4 linked regions of the Arabidopsis thaliana genome follow. The protein of the gene in region 3 interacts with the protein of the main gene of each other region in a pairwise test. Each region holds a gene or a part of one and is shown on either strand. Other genes may lie near its edges. The genes, in order: bbx23, AT5G26749, AT3G25790 and AT2G43220.

Region 1 (3,640 bases), on a different chromosome or scaffold from region 3:
CATGTAGGGATTGCAACTAAGATTGACGGTACCGGAGCCGCGTCATGGAGAAAGTTTCTACAAGCCTTTTTGGTTTGCTAGTGGGATAAATTTTTGGTCGACCAGGAGAACAAAGTTTTGGTGTGTCGTGGTAAGCATGGGGTCTCCAACGTTTTTTTACACGTTGTGGGAGAAGATAAATGTATACAATTGGATCATGATGAGGAAGAATCTCAATGGTCACTTCTTAATCAGTTATGTTCCAACGTTGGTTCAAATCCAACAAGGTCTATAGTTCTTGTAGTGAGGCAAAAAGAAAGTACAAGAGCTAATAGTAGTAATCTATGACTGTCTCATTAAGTTATGCATTTTCTATCCAAGTCTTGATATTTGAGATAAATAATTATATTTAATCAATAATTATTTATTCATTTTTTAAATTTTGTTTATATATCTAAGATCGATTCAAATAGTATTCACATTTCTACAATTCTTGAAACTATTGGAACAACTTAGCTTTGGTTGTGTCGATGCCATGACCACTGACTTTAGTTGTTAAGTCATGGTTTTAATATTTGTTGTAACAAAAAGATTTGATTCCTCAACAAGTTTTTCTTCTGTGTAAGATAATATATTACAGAAACTTTTATTATTAAACATCAATGGCTCCGGAACCATGATGTTGTGTGTATATCTCTAAGGACTTAAGATTACAGAAGGATTCTTGTGTACTATCTCACCTGAGTTTCCAGCTTCAGTTTCCTCACTAGAGTACTGACTATTCAGAGACACTTTTGACTGAATCTGGTAAGTTTCAGAGCTAAAACTAGTGCTGCATTCGGAGTTTTCAGTCAAAGACTGATCAGAAACTTGTACTCCAGAAAGTAAGAATCTTTGGTGAGAATTGCAAGTGTGAATGGCTTCATCACAATCATTGCACAGCATTGCTCTATCCTCTAAGCAGAAGAAGTACCCTTTTCTCTCCTGCATATACATATATATGAGACATCGGTTAAAGAGCTCAGCGAGTGTTTAAAGAGAAAAGAGATTGGAACCTGGCAGATATCACATAGAGGAGCTCCAGAAGCTGTGGTGGCTGAGGCTGCATCTTTTTGTAAGGCGACTCGGTGATGTCTTTGGAAAAGTTTATTAGCTTCATGAACCTTAATGTCACATGGCTTGCATAGTACAGCTTCATCTGAACAACAAAGTACTTCTGCTTCAGCCTTTTCACACACTTCACATTGTATCTTCATCCTTCAACTTTATAATCCAAATCAATGTAAATTGCCAATACACAGACAGAACAAATGTTCTTTGACATTTATGAGAATTAGGACAAGGAGTGAATCTAAATATAGGAAACAAGAAAGAACAAGCTTAAATAAGTTCACATGTGTGGTGGGATCATAAGTTATATCAAAACCTGGCTCTGATACCAAGAGGAATTGATGATCTTTATTCATGAAAAGAGAGAACTATATATAGATATACAACGATATGTCGAAGACGAAATTTTTATCTCAATATGGGGTTATTAGACCAACTTTGGGTGGCATTTAAACCAATAAATGTTCTCCTACCAAAATCTCCATGACAAGATCTTTTTCAGAAGCTTGTATAGTTTTACTTTCTTTTGAAAACATAAATTGACAAACATAGCGACAAGCTTCTCTTAAGACACAAGCATGGCAAGCCAAAAGTAAAGGCAGGACCACAATATGCATAAAGACTGTGGAATTAAAAGTAACTAGCCATAGGGCAATAGAGGTCAAAAACTCTAAAATGTTGTCAGAAACTGAAATGGAGCATGGCATCATTCAAACTCTCTCCCATTCCTTTCCCATGCAGCAGCCAAAATTCTAAGACTCATCACAAACAGAATTGGTCCCAAATATCATAATGGGCCAATAAAAATAGGCCTGGATATAAATAACTATTAAGGCCCAATCCAATCCATAGTTTTTACATGAAGTCTCTGGAACATGAGAGAAGACCCTTAAAGGCACAACAAACTTATCCAACGTGTAGTAACATAATTAGTACAAGTCACAGCCAAAAAAGCTAGAACAATCTCAATATCTCTCTCTGCAAAACTCTACCAAAAGAAAGATATTTCAAGAAACTTCTTCATTCTTCATACAATGTGTATTATATATACACCAGAGAATTGAGACTAACCATCATAGAAAACAAAATAAGAAAGTGAAGTTAAAAGCCTAAAATTTTGGTTTCAACCTTCTACAATAAATCCAAATCACTAACCATGATGAAGCACTTGCTAAGCATCTTCTTCATAGGAGCTTTGTTGCTTGGAAACATCAAAACAAGTGAAGGGTCTTTGTCTTCTGCACTTGAAACTACTCCAGGCAGCTTGCTATCCGATCTCTGGCTAGACCGGTTCCCTGATCCATTCAAGATCTTGGAGAGAATCCCATTAGGACTCGAGAGGGACACAAGCGTGGCTCTGTCTCCAGCAAGAGTAGACTGGAAAGAAACAGCAGAAGGGCATGAGATAATGCTCGATATCCCCGGTTTGAAGAAGGATGAAGTAAAGATAGAAGTGGAGGAGAACGGAGTTTTACGAGTCAGTGGAGAGAGGAAAAGAGAAGAAGAGAAGAAAGGAGATCAATGGCATAGAGTGGAGAGATCATATGGAAAATTCTGGAGACAGTTCAAGCTACCTGATAATGTAGATATGGAATCAGTCAAGGCCAAGCTTGAGAATGGTGTGCTCACTATTAACCTCACGAAACTATCTCCTGAAAAAGTTAAGGGTCCAAGAGTTGTTAACATTGCAGCTGAAGAAGACCAAACTGCAAAAATCAGCTCTTCTGAATCCAAAGAACTCTGATATTGAAGAAACTATATATTACTTTCTGAGTCTGAAGAGAGTTATTATAAATCCAAGAGTTTTGAGTTTCATATTGTGTAAGCTAAATGGAGTGTCATGTTTTGTAACCTATCTACCAAAATCTCTGTAACCTTCTCTATATGCAATAAAATGTTCATTTCTTTATATTATAGAGCCTCTTGATTATTTGTTATAGAACATTAGTCATGTAATTAAAAATCAAGGTATATGAATTAGTTTGGAATCAATTTTGGCAGAAACTTGAAACTAGATTTATTCAGATAACAGAGAAAATACTCTGTGAAAACCAAGGAAATTGACAAGAGTGAAGAAACAGAAACAGAACAGAACAAGATTGAAACTATTTAGACTTAGATTTCATGAGCTTTTGAGCATCAGCTGGAGTGGGAAGTGCAGGAATAGCTCCTTTCTGAGTAGTACACACTGCTCCACATGCATTTGCAAAGGCAAGTGCTTCCTTCAGCTTCCCTTCATCCTGCAACATTCACATTACTCAATCACCAAAACTCAATTTCATATGCCTTATCTATGAACTGAAAACGTCTTTGGTTATACGTACATCGAGTATGGAGCCATCTTTTCCCAATGAGACAAGAAATGCACCAACAAATGAATCACCAGCTCCAGTTGTGTCAACTGCTTTCACAGCGTATCCAGGCACTCTCCCTTTGAATTTCTGCGCTTTTCGACAGTCGAAAAACTTTGTTTAGATAACTCCAAAACACACACAATCATGTCGAATTTGATCCCTTACCTTTGTGTAGTATCTGCAACCTTTCTCTCCAT
Region 2 (3,736 bases), on a different chromosome or scaffold from region 3:
GACCATCCTAATGTTGTGTCTCTGAAACATTGTTTCTTCTCAACCACTGAAAAAGATGAGCTTTACCTCAATCTTGTTCTTGAGTACGTTCCAGAAACTGTTCATCGTGTTATCAAACACTACAACAAACTGAATCAGAGAATGCCTCTTATATACGTCAAACTTTACACTTATCAGGTATCAATTATTACATTTCTGTTAGATTTAGAGTTATGTTTTGGATCTCTTATCGGATTTCTCTATGTTTGGCAGATTTTTAGAGCCTTATCTTACATTCACCGATGCATTGGTGTGTGTCATCGTGACATAAAACCTCAAAACTTGTTGGTATGTACAAGTTAAATAAACAGGAGCTCACAGTATACCCGGGAATATACTTTTCTTCATTGTCTAATGCTACTTTTTTCACCTGTAATGGAACAGGTAAATCCGCACACTCATCAAGTAAAGCTATGTGATTTTGGAAGTGCAAAAGTATTGGTGAGTTTGATAAACCTCTTCCGGGTACTTTGTTTCTTGGAAAAAGTTAGATTCAATCTTGTTGATCATTGTAATATCTGAAAACAGGTAAAAGGAGAACCAAACATTTCCTACATCTGCTCGAGGTATTACAGAGCACCTGAACTTATTTTTGGAGCAACCGAGTATACGACAGCCATTGATGTCTGGTCTGCAGGATGTGTTCTAGCTGAACTATTGCTTGGACAGGTAATGCATTAAATCTTATTCAAACATTTTTGTTCTACTTAACCTGGAATTTTGTGATTGACAAACTCTATTCTCTGCTCATGACAGCCCTTGTTCCCTGGTGAGAGCGGTGTTGATCAACTTGTAGAGATTATCAAGGTATAAGCTTTGCACTTGTTCACTTTGATAACAAGTTCTTGTTTTCAATAATACTGAGAGAAGATTTGATGTAATGTTTTTTGTTATGCTTTGGGGTAGGTCTTGGGAACGCCTACTAGAGAAGAAATCAAGTGCATGAACCCAAACTACACGGAATTCAAATTCCCTCAGATTAAAGCTCATCCATGGCACAAGGTAGAAATAAACTTATATTCATCAAATCAACTTGTCAATGTGTTATTCAGTAGCAGTTACAGTCAATGTGACAATATCTACTCGTCATAATATATTCACAGATTTTCCACAAACGCATGCCTCCAGAAGCTGTTGATTTGGTCTCAAGACTTCTTCAATACTCTCCTAATCTACGAAGTGCCGCTGTGAGTATTACTTACAAATTCAACATTCTTCTGTGAATCTTCTCGATGGTCCTTTCATTTCCTATTTTTCTTTTGTCTGACTTGCTTTTACTTGAATCGTAAACCTGATCACAGCTCGACACATTAGTCCACCCATTCTTTGATGAGTTAAGAGACCCAAACGCACGTCTACCTAATGGACGTTTCCTTCCACCGCTTTTCAACTTCAAGCCTCACGGTACAACATCTCCCTTTCCTAATGGTGTTTATCTCCAACTTACCTGTAAAATCATCAAAGTTTTACCTTACTAAAGCTATACCTGTAATTGTTGTGAAACAGAGCTGAAAGGTGTACCATTGGAGATGGTAGCTAAGTTAGTACCTGAGCATGCAAGGAAGCAGTGTCCTTGGCTCGGTTTGTGATTTCCTCTTAATGTAGCATGAACACAACAAACACTTCTTATAAATTACCTCTCTATGTATCAATATGTCACAAACTGATATGCACCCTTTGTTTGTTGTATGAGTAGAGAAAAAAAGAGTTATTACTATGGTTGGTTGGTTCATAATGTAAAAGCCCACCAAGATTTTTTATCTAGATAAAGAGTTTGCTACTTCTGCTTTTGTATCTTCTTCTTCCTCTGCAACATCATCAAACAAAGACCCTAAAAGTCACTGTAGCAAATACAAGTATCCTCACGCGCCTAAAACTAATAAAAGCCAAAACTTTTTGATTCTACGAGTCGTCGTCGTCATCGCCGGAAGATGCCGTCGGGGAAATATTACTGTGATTATTGCGAGAAAGAGTTTCAAGACACTCAAGTCGCTAGAAAACGCCATCTTCAAAGCAAACCTCATCTTCGAGCTAAAGCCCTTTGGTACAGTTCTTCTTCCTCAGGTATCTCTCTTCTCTCTTTTTTCTCTCTGTTTCTTAAAGGAACGATTTTTAACATCTCTGTTTCTTTTAATACGAAATTCTTAGATCTTGTTAATCCACAAGTCTCCAATTTTGCGACGAAAGGTCTCTGCAATCGATTCATTACCTCGGTACGTCGGATTGATTTTGTTTCGCTATGTTCATCATTCCTAGCAATCTCTGGATGTGTAAAGTCTTGTCCTTTTCGTTTATATTCTGGTGGAATCACACATTTTACATTGCTTTGTTTGATTCTGCAAAAAAATTCATTGCATATGTGTGTATGTATGTAATCTTCCAAGTAAAGTCTGTTCCTTTCTTAATGGGTTTTGCAGAATTTTTGCCCATTTGGAGATTCTTGCAGATACTTCCATCCTAACAACAATACAGGAAGCACAGGTTAGGTCAAAACCTGTTGATTTTTGACTTCAGTGATTTGGTCTCTTTTAGGCTACTTAAAGCTTTAAAGAAGTCTCTACTATGCGCAAGATTTGCTTAAAACATCATCCTCTTGTTGAATTCAAATGCAGGATTCACAAATAATACACAACTTCGTGTTGACATGCTTAACCAACAACACATCCAAGGAAGTACTTTAAACCGTATGCGTTCTTGTTTTTTCGTCATTCAAGTTCTCTAATATTTAAGCATTTATAGAAAATCTGATGTTGGAAGTTTGAATTGTCTAAAACAGGTGATTTTGTTAGTGGGAGACCAGGAACAGGTTGGTTTGATCTTCCGCCATCGCTAAAACCGCCTCCTGAGCAAGGCTATCCTCAGCTTCCCTTCATAGACTGGGGATAGATATAAATTCTCTGAATAATGCTCAGTTTCAACATTGATGATTCTACTTGAAAGGAAAAGACTAATCTTTGTCTCGTTGTGCTCTGCCATTACCAAGCTTTTAGCCACAAGCTTGTCTCTTTTCAGACTCGAGGTTGGAAGAATGTCAACCAAATTGTCGTCTTGTTACTCAATTTGTCGTCAACTTTAGAGACATTGTTCGGAGTTTGGACATGGCAAATTTGCAATTTAACATACTGTGCGATATTCTGATAAAATTCTTTAAATTTCGTTGGCTCGTCCCTATTCATTGCGTGATGATAGGATATCGCTAATTCGCTATCCGCTTCCTGGCCATGTGCTAAACAAGACTTCCCAAGCCAAACTATCAAAATATTTGACAAAGTTGGAGCAATTCCTAAGGCTGTAGATTAATTACAAAGTTGGAACAATTTTTTCCCTAGAAAATACATTATTGAGAAACAGAGTATAAGTTGGCTAAAAGAAAAATCAGATTGTTCAGAATCAAATATTTAAATTATTAACTTCATTTTCATTTCTTCAACTCCATAAAATAGAACTAATTTTAAACTCTTTATTGTTGAGAGAAATATCTTCGAATCTCCTAAGAGTAATTTAGTCGAGCATGTTGGTTTGAGTTTATAAAAGATAGGTTATGATTTATTAGTTAATATTTCAAATTTATATATTGGTTTTTAGGTTTATAATGGAGGGTTTTAGTTTATTTTTTATTTTAATTATGAACAAAGTAAATAGTTTGAGTTTATAAAGAAGAGTTTGATTAGCGTATTATAATTACTTATATGTCGGT
Region 3 (4,665 bases):
GTAGTGTCGAGAGTTAGAATGGTCAGCAATTTTCATGTGGCTTTACACCTTGTTTCTTGCCCTTAAGTTACAAAAAAACTTGTCTTTTAACATATTTTGGGTTTAATATTTACACAGTTATATACTTATATGGAAAAATTGTATTTACAAAAGTAAAAGGAACAAATAAAGAATAATTCACTCCACGAGAAGGAGCCCAACGTGCACATTTGTGTTAATATCCAGTACAAGCAACAAGAGAATAAAGTTTAACCTGAAAAACATATTTGCAGATTATGCTCTTCAGATTCCGGCATATTCTACCGAGTTCCGATCCTTCTGTATGGCATAATTTTTTTTATTTTCATTCAAAAAAGTTTATATATGTATTTTTCTTCTGTTTTCGAAGACATTTTACATTTCTACAATGTTTCTGTGTATCTTATATTACTATAGCAAATAGAAACCTGGCCGACATACATATGTTAAGGACGAAATTAATTAATTTGAGTTTGTGACTGACATTTATTAATTTTGGTGGCTAAAGCCTCTATAAAAATATATGCTGATAATATACCATCATTCTACATATAATTACGATTCTTTCTATATACGATTCTTCAACTAGTAATCTAATAATTTTGTGTTATTAACTTATTATCATCGATATGCATATTGCACGACGTAAAAAAATATAGTATGCATTAGCTAATATGGATCTTTGATCAAAGATATCATCGGCTAATAGAAAAAAACCAAGAAACTAAAAATAACATAGAGTCACGCTCCAACATCTATATATATACACTCTTCACAATATTAATGTCTATAACTTTTTTCTCTTAATAAATAATCAAAAATTAAATTTATGATATTATTTTTGCATCTTTCGTCTTTGTACGAGTAGAACAAGACATAGCTGGTGAGCTACACCGAAAAAATCCGTTGTTAGAGCATCTTGATCTATCTTCCGAAATCTTCCTACCAAAATTGGAATGCCTCGGCCACTCGGACGGCAACGAACTGACCATAGGCCCATAAATCCCGGTGGTCTCACCCGATGCGACGGCGTTGACTGCGTTGGCCGTTGAATGGTTAGTCTGTGGGACCCATATTCCACCAACCACCACGAAATGTTGCGTTTGAGAGTTTCTGTTGTTCGGTGTTGTTTGGCTTGGCCGTCTTGCATGCAGCCTATATTTCTATTTATCATTAAAAAAAATATGAAACAATAAATATTATTTTCCTTCTAAATTATAAAAACATTTGTAACTAAAATGATGAAATTAATATATACCTTTTACATATTAGTTACATGTATTTTTCATGGAATATGATTTACTAACCTGTAAATGACTTTTGACTTCATCATTTGTTAACCCATCAACCTTCATTATATCTCTTATCTGTTTCGGCGTAGCTACTTCAAAATTTAGTGAACAAAAAGGTCATTACGAATTAATTAAACTTCATGAGCCCTAACAAAAAGATATGACTACTGATATATATGTTTTAACTTAAAACCAAGAAACGCACCATGAGGGCCACCAAGTTGTTTAAGAGCGTTCAAGAAGCGTCTGTGTAACTCTTGCGACCAACACCGCCTATTCTTTCTCTGCCCTCTTCTGCCACCGCCACCGCCACTGCCACCATCGCTAGTAGTCACCGGTGATTTTATGTTGTTGTTTTTCTTCGCTGCTTCATCGTTTATTTTTATCAACTCTACCAGCGTCTCTGTCTTTTCTTGTGAGCGATCCTGAATACGCAAAATGCTATTAGAAACTTAAATTACAAAACAAAATCTTTTTGTGAGCAATTTACTATCTTTTTGTGCACCCATCCTTTTTCGGTCTATTAAAAAAAACAAAAACTGGAAGAAAAAAGAATAATCTATTTGTGAAGTTGTAAGTTACAAACACAATCGCATAAAGTACACAGAAGGTTATGCGTTTAGTCTTTACGTTAACAATTAACAACGTCAATAGGCTGGTTTGGAAACAATACAGTAAATGTAATTCAAGGCAAACAAAAACACAAATGTAAACAAAGAAAAAATAAAATAAAATAAAAATCTTACCTGTCTATTATTAGAAACAACTGCGTCGGATTGGTTCCAGAGCTGAACAGACTTGAGCCATTCAGATTTCATGTTCTTGTCATCAAAATCTATGTCGGTTTCATGAGACTGGTGTTCTTCATCATCATCATCTTTGTCATCAACCTCTTCTTCTATGGAGGTCGAAGAGTGTTTGATTGGTATGAACAGATCCAAGATGCGCCCACATTCTCCGGTGGTCTGCTCTGAGCACTCCGACTGTCCGTATAAGTTATCCGTCGACGTCCCTGATATCTCCCTCTTATACGCCTCAATCGCTAAATTCCATAAAACATTTTTTAAAAATCTTTAGATCTAACATTTAATCCATATATATAAACTCATTATATCTTATATGAAATGTAAATGCATATGTATGTACCTTGAGTCACGAGCTCTACGCAAAGAGGAAGCTCGCGTTGGAAAACATTGATCTTGCGACGTTCTTCTTCGAGAGCTTCGATGTACTCGCAACATTTTTCACGTTTCTGATTGTCATTCTTCATATTACTTAAGTTCTTGATCATGCTGGTTTAAGGGACAAAACAAAAAACCAGCTTTGTTTTCGAATAATTGATAACTTTAACTATAAAGTTAGTCAAGAAGAGATGAGTTATGTCTCTTTATAAAGACAACGTATATATGGCTCTATAGGGTTTCTCAAGGATCATTATTTGAAAGAGAGAAGTCGGGCCGTCGCATTACAAGGCGAATCTTGCTTTTGTTTATAAAATAAGTATATACCTTCCCAAGTTAAATATTTTTTTTTCCCTTGTTGTATAGTAGTATTGATCCAGTGGTGAATATTCCTGGATGTGATTCCAAGTTTTTTTCGTGTGAACTTTATATTTATTTGGGTATATCCAACCAAGGTTTAAAGAAGTCCTATAACAACATTCATAAGTTAGAAAATGTCTGCGATTCCACTACAACAGAAATCGAATTTTGGAAGACTATAAACTATTCATTCTATTATTTTTACAAGTTTGATTATTATGTCATTTATAGAATTCAATACGTGGGAAAGAATATATGCAAATCCTTAAAAACAGCCGCCAAAATAACACTAAACGTGCATGAGCTCTTTTGTTCTGTAAGTATTAATTTCACCCACACAAAATCATATATAAAACGTTGAAAATGTATTTTTCAATATCCCAATATGAAAAGCCAAATGTCTCTTCGTAGACAGCCGAAACATGGGAGAAGAAAAGCCATATATAAAAAAAAAACTGTAATATACTTGTTGAAATTTCATAGGACCTTGAGAATTTGTTGAATTCGTTATAACCTTATCCATAAATACACATGTAAACTAATATATATATCCACACAATATGAGTTCCTATATATCTCGTGTTTTTGACCGGTAATTTTAATTATGTCAAGTAGACGATTACTAAGTACACCTACTAATATATATGCGAATGCATCTTCCCAGTATAATGGCCTGCCAATGCATTTCCCGGTCAAAGATATAACCTAATGCTACACATATCAATTTATATGCTATGCTGTTGTTATATCCATATAATTTGGAATTAGATATGAAATCAAACGTGATTAAGGGCTCTAATAGCTGTCAACTTTAATGATAAGAAAATATGTTGCCTCTATAGAAATTGGTGTGTAATGAGCTAATATGTTCGGGTGATGTCCAAAATATCAAGAAATTACCCGCAAATTGTTAGAGACCAACATCAAATTTATTACTCAAAATTTTAAATATCGATTTATATGTTATGATGTTATGATACAAATAGATCCACCTATTCGTAGTCTCGAGAAATCAAAATTGTGTTTAACAGGCTTATCTGTTTTGATTAGATTGAAACGTATTTTAAATAAAGAAATTAGTTGGCAAATAGAGTTTAGAGATGTATTTTAGTGTTGGATTATAATTGTCCCCTCGGAGTCTCAAAAGGCCATATTCAGTGTTCACCACTGGCCGCGGCCGAACAAAAAGACGGCCTCATGTATTGAACCCAACATGCCAACTTTATATACGGCCTTGTGTATTGTTTCCTACTTGGGCTCAATTTATCATCAATTTTTTCCACCCCTTTCTCGTATCTCCAATATTCGTATGCAATAGTACCACTAAACTCCCCAATATTCGTATGCAATTGTGAACCAAAAAAAAAGGTACCACTAAACTCCCCAACTTTGTGGGCTTCCCATATTGATATCAAACGAAAATATCTATATATAAACTTAAATCTAAAGTATAGAAGAAGAAAAAAAATCGCAAAATTGGTGGTAACCTATAAATTTTCAATTGTTTAAGATCAAACCAATGAACTCATCCTCCTAAAAAAAGATAGAAAACATAAACAAATACTGTATTTATCCTCAAATACTTCGTGATTTGTTTGTCAAAAAACTGGCATAAACGTTTAAAAGTTAGGTGATAATACCCAAGTGTCTCGGATCTATCAGACCCTATTTTTCAATTTGTATACTACTTGATATATGTTCTATGAAACTAAAATCTTTTTCAATAAAACGGATCACAAATCCGAATTTTGCATTCTCTCGTAGCTAAAATTCTCTCTTTTTTGGTATTACAAAAAAAACACCATCTTGGTTTT
Region 4 (4,124 bases), on a different chromosome or scaffold from region 3:
GAGGATGGAGAAAAATCCAAAAAAGCATCTGACGTTCATTTAAACATTCGATTACCTGATGGTAGTAGCCTTCAGGAGAAGTTTTCTGTGACAAGTATATTGAGAATGGTCAAGGATTATGTGAACAGTAATCAAACAATCGGACTGGGTGCTTATGATCTTGCGGTTCCTTACCCACGTAAGGTGTATACTGACCAAGGTACGTAAAATCTACAATGCATCCAATAGATTTTTATTTTTATTTGGTAAAGAACATTTTACCTTAAAACCAGCTTCATCTTGATCGAAGATGATGTTTTCTGCCATTTAGGTTTTTTTTTTTTTTTTTTCTGGTCAGTTTGGACTAGTGTAGTAGATACATAACTCCATTACTCTTAATCTCTGCAGATCTGGATAAGTCTCTATCCGAGTTGAGATTGTTCGATAGACAAGCACTTGTAGTAGTTCCGCGAAAAAGAGCAACCGTCTATCAAAGAGGAACATCTTACTCGGAGTCTAACAACAACACAGACCCTAATAGTGGCGGTTACTTTGCTTATGTTAGAAGAGTACTGTCTTATGCAAACCCGTTTTCATATTTTGGCGGTGGTACTGCCAACGCATCAAGCTCTGTTCCAGAACGTCAAACAAGTATGCGGGAATATGATGAGTTTATAAAATCCATTCTAATGCAGAAAGTCGTGTAATTGCTAATCTGATTCTCTCTTTTTCTATCTATAGGACCAAATACGGAGGTGAGAAACAATCTGGGGCAAGTAGGGACGTCCTTTCAAGATCCATCAGAAGGTAGGAGCAACGTTAGGAATAGGAGACCAACCACTTCTCGGATTGGAAGTAACATCCATACGTTGAATCACAATGAAGATGAGGCTCCGTTTGGTGATGGAAACGCTTTTTGGAACGGAAACTCCACACAGTACGGTGGTGGAAGCGGTGGAGACAGTAATGATAGACGATGAAATAAGAGAAGTTGAAATCTGTGTGGATAGATACAGAAACAGCTCGGGTGTTTACTTTTTATACTTGACTCTTTATGAACCATTTAAGAGACCAGCTGCAAAATGTATCCTGATGCGTTTCCGTTTTTTCGGTTGCTCGTATTAAATTTAAATCTAAAAAAACTAGCAATTTCTGTTTGATTAAATTCGGTTCTAGAAATTAATTAGTGTCGTTTGATTAACTTCGGTTCCAATCATAACAAAAATATTAGAGTTAAATGGTTGCTTAAATATAAGAATCTGTATATTCTTTTCTATGCAAGTGAAGACTTCATTGAACTGTGAAAAGGCGTTCACTGACAGCTTCTTGTTCTCCTAGCGGTTTCCCTTGTGCTCATCCTCACACCTTCCAAAATATTATCAACTCGGATAACAAAACATATATATGTGATCAACCAGACAATTTTTTAATATATATTTCTATAGTCAACGATGAGTACGCATTTTAATAATCCGGTGAAAGATTAGTCGGACTAACTAAATAATTTTTTTGACATATAATAAACACTTGGACCCCCCAAATTGAGCCTTAAGAAAAGACTAAACCAGTTCTATTAGTTGCGTACAACTAACGATGATCAACTTGAGTGATTTATATCGGAGATCGTGGGTAGTGATACGGGTCAACAATATAAGGATTTAGAGATCAATTAGGAATTGAAGTTAAACCTTTTCAATTTTCTTAAAGTTCCCTGATCCTTATTCATTCATCGTATCCACAACCATTCTTAACATTGCCCATGGCTAAGACGCTGGACCTCTTTTGGCACGAACATCCTTTATATGAAAAATATCGTATGTTCACTTGCCAAGAGTGCCATAGGAGTGCTATACCCTTCTTTGAAGTTTTTTATGGATGCTTCAGATGCAATATAAAATGGCATCCCTATTGCGTGCCAAGGTCAACGAAGAATATTAACCACCCTTGTCACCCGAACCATCCCCTAGAGGTTCTCCTCCAAGGGCCACCTAGTTACTCTGACGAGAAGTGCAGCCTCTGTCAACGGAAACTCTCCAACTTCGTTTACCATTGTAAGTTATGCAATTTCAGCATAGATATGGAATGCGGAAACAGGCCCCCGCCCCACAAAGTGGATCATCCAAAGTGCCACGAGCATGCACTCACCCTCATGGGAAGGGAAGTATCCTTCACTTGCAATGCTTGTGGTACGCATGGTGAACGGAACCCTTATGTATGCCTACCATGCTCTGTCATGTTTCATTATGATTGTATTGATCTACCACACGTCATCAACATCAATCGTCATGATCATCGCATTTCACATTCATATCCTCTCAAACGTGGGAATTGGGTATGTGAAATCTGTCGTCAAGATATCAACACCACGTACGGAGGCTATTCATGCAACAAATGTCCAGATTTTTTTGTTCATTCAAAATGTGCAACTAGAAAAGACGTGTGGGATGGGACCGAACTCGAAGGGATACCTGAGGAAGTAGTAGACGTTGCGCCATTTGAAGTGATCGAGGAAGGGGTAATTTATCATTTCTCCCACGAGAAACATAACTTATTCCTTATTGAGGATGTTTTTATAGATGGTGCTGAAGACATGCATTGTGAAGCTTGCGCCCGTCCAGTCTCTTCTGAGAAGCACTACAAGTGCGTGGAATGCAAGTTTATTCTTCACGAAGAGTGTGCGAATCTTCCTCTTACGAAACGACATGGACTTTCCACAGGTATATTTTATCTTCGCTTCGGGAAGGATTTTAGCGAACAAAATTTCAGTTGTGATGCTTGCAATAGAGATGGAAGGGGTTTTAGCTACAAGGATGAAGAGGGTGTGGTACTCGATGTGTTGTGTGCGTCTCTCTCTTTCTTCAAGCACCCCAAACTTCATCCTCACACGTTATTTCTAACCACAATAGATCGTGGTACTTGCTTAGCTTGCGGTGAGAATAAACTCAATGTGCTGCGTTGTGTTGATTGTGATTATTCTTTGGATTACAAATGCGCCACTCTACCATTAGTCATAAAGCATAGGTGTGATACACATTATTTAGTTTTGCGCTCTGGGGAGGAGGCGCCTGAAGGTAAATATTGGTGTGAAATCTGTGAAGCCGAAACCAATCCTGAAAGATGGTTCTATACATGCGATGATTGTGGGGTCGTGTGCCATATTGAATGCGTAACCGGGGACTTTTTGAACATAAAACCTGGAATAATAATGAAGAACAGGGAGAATAAGTTTGAAGTGGGTTTCAACGATCACGATTCTAGACCAAAATGCACTGATTGTGGCTCTCGTTGTAGGTTCCCTAGGTTTTTCAAGGTTACTAGAAAAAATATTGAGTACTACTATTGCTCAAAAGCTTGTTTTCAGAATGCGAAATTCTGAATGCCTGAAGGAAGGCGAAAGGAAGGATTTGGAAACATAAAAAGAATATGGGTTTTTACAGATGGAGGCTGTGTAATGTTTTTCAATTATTTTCAGATAAACTTGTTTTCTATATTTGGATTTATTGTTGGTTTGCTCATTCAGTTCATAAAACTATTTATGAGAAAGAGAGAAAGAGAGAGAGAGAGACTTTGAAGGTAATTATTCTTCACACCTTTTATTATAATTCACCAAAATTGGGATGTTTGTTCTATTCTTGATCACACGCCTCTCTGTCGCTTCCTTTTGACGTTTTCTTTCTTTTCTTAGCTTTTTCTTTTATCTTTTGTGTTTTCTGTCTTTTCTTTTCCGTAGTTATTTGGGATTCCAAATTTTTTTCATTCCTAAATTTCTCCACGAGCTCATCACCTCCTTTCGTCTCTGCCTCTCATTTGTCTACAAACATTTTTTCCTTTTGATTCGTCTCTCTGGTTTATTGCTCGTTGATCGTTTGTTTCTAAATTGCATTCTGATTTCTGATGGATCGTGATTTTCATCGTCGTGGTCAAGTGGTAAGCATTACACGCAAACACAGCTTTGATCATTAAAAATGTCATCTTATTTAAATCATGTCTTGAGATCACGTAATGGTCTTAGGTCAATCAAGATCAACGCGCAACAAATTCTAATGTTTTTACAAAATTTGAAAATACTTATCTACAAATGTATTTATAAAGAAACCTAATTTGCCTTTGTGTTGATCATGATAGACAATTGTTGTTATTAGCCT

Evidence for each region.
Region 1: the proteins of AT3G25790 (region 3) and bbx23 interact in a two-hybrid assay, tested with the Arabidopsis thaliana proteins (one large-scale study listed by BioGRID).
Region 2: the proteins of AT3G25790 (region 3) and AT5G26749 interact in a two-hybrid assay, tested with the Arabidopsis thaliana proteins (one large-scale study listed by BioGRID).
Region 4: the proteins of AT3G25790 (region 3) and AT2G43220 interact in a two-hybrid assay, tested with the Arabidopsis thaliana proteins (one large-scale study listed by BioGRID).

Annotation. Positions count from the first base shown.
Region 1 is NC_003075.7:6,368,292-6,371,931, forward strand, and holds bbx23 (B-box zinc finger family protein), read right to left. Parts: upstream 1,660-3,640; 5' UTR 1,236-1,659; coding exon 1,035-1,235; intron 964-1,034; coding exon 676-963; 3' UTR 538-675; downstream 1-537. Other genes in the region: ATHSP22.0 (HSP20-like chaperones superfamily protein), read left to right, coding at 2,246-2,833; AT4G10260 (pfkB-like carbohydrate kinase family protein), read right to left, coding at 3,195-3,329, 3,414-3,530, 3,609-3,640. UniProt on the Arabidopsis thaliana protein: Probable transcription factor that may be involved in seedling photomorphogenesis.
Region 2 is NC_003076.8:9,397,474-9,401,209, reverse strand, and holds AT5G26749 (C2H2 and C2HC zinc fingers superfamily protein), read left to right. Parts: upstream 1-1,942; 5' UTR 1,943-1,970; coding exon 1,971-2,103; intron 2,104-2,187; coding exon 2,188-2,309; intron 2,310-2,456; coding exon 2,457-2,520; intron 2,521-2,651; coding exon 2,652-2,723; intron 2,724-2,815; coding exon 2,816-2,925; 3' UTR 2,926-3,195; downstream 3,196-3,736. Other genes in the region: SK 11 (shaggy-related kinase 11), read left to right, coding at 1-177, 253-327, 424-480, 568-708, 796-846, 946-1,041, 1,143-1,226, 1,341-1,443 and 1 more.
Region 3 is NC_003074.8:9,411,132-9,415,796, reverse strand, and holds AT3G25790 (myb-like transcription factor family protein), read right to left. Parts: upstream 2,746-4,665; 5' UTR 2,602-2,745; coding exon 2,457-2,601; intron 2,353-2,456; coding exon 2,057-2,352; intron 1,736-2,056; coding exon 1,516-1,735; intron 1,403-1,515; coding exon 1,326-1,402; coding exon of another isoform or gene 1,287-1,325; exon of another isoform or gene 1,182-1,286; coding exon 846-1,181; 3' UTR 557-845; downstream 1-556. UniProt on the Arabidopsis thaliana protein: Probable factor involved in nitrate and phosphate signaling in roots. Integrates nitrate and phosphate starvation responses and adaptation of root architecture, depending on nutrient availabilities.
Region 4 is NC_003071.7:17,962,602-17,966,725, forward strand, and holds AT2G43220 (Cysteine/Histidine-rich C1 domain family protein), read left to right. Parts: upstream 1-1,617; 5' UTR 1,618-1,738; coding exon 1,739-3,355; 3' UTR 3,356-3,610; downstream 3,611-4,124. Other genes in the region: AT2G43210 (Ubiquitin-like superfamily protein), read left to right, coding at 1-199, 388-630, 721-959; AT2G43230 (Protein kinase superfamily protein), read left to right, coding at 3,874-3,906, 3,992-4,059.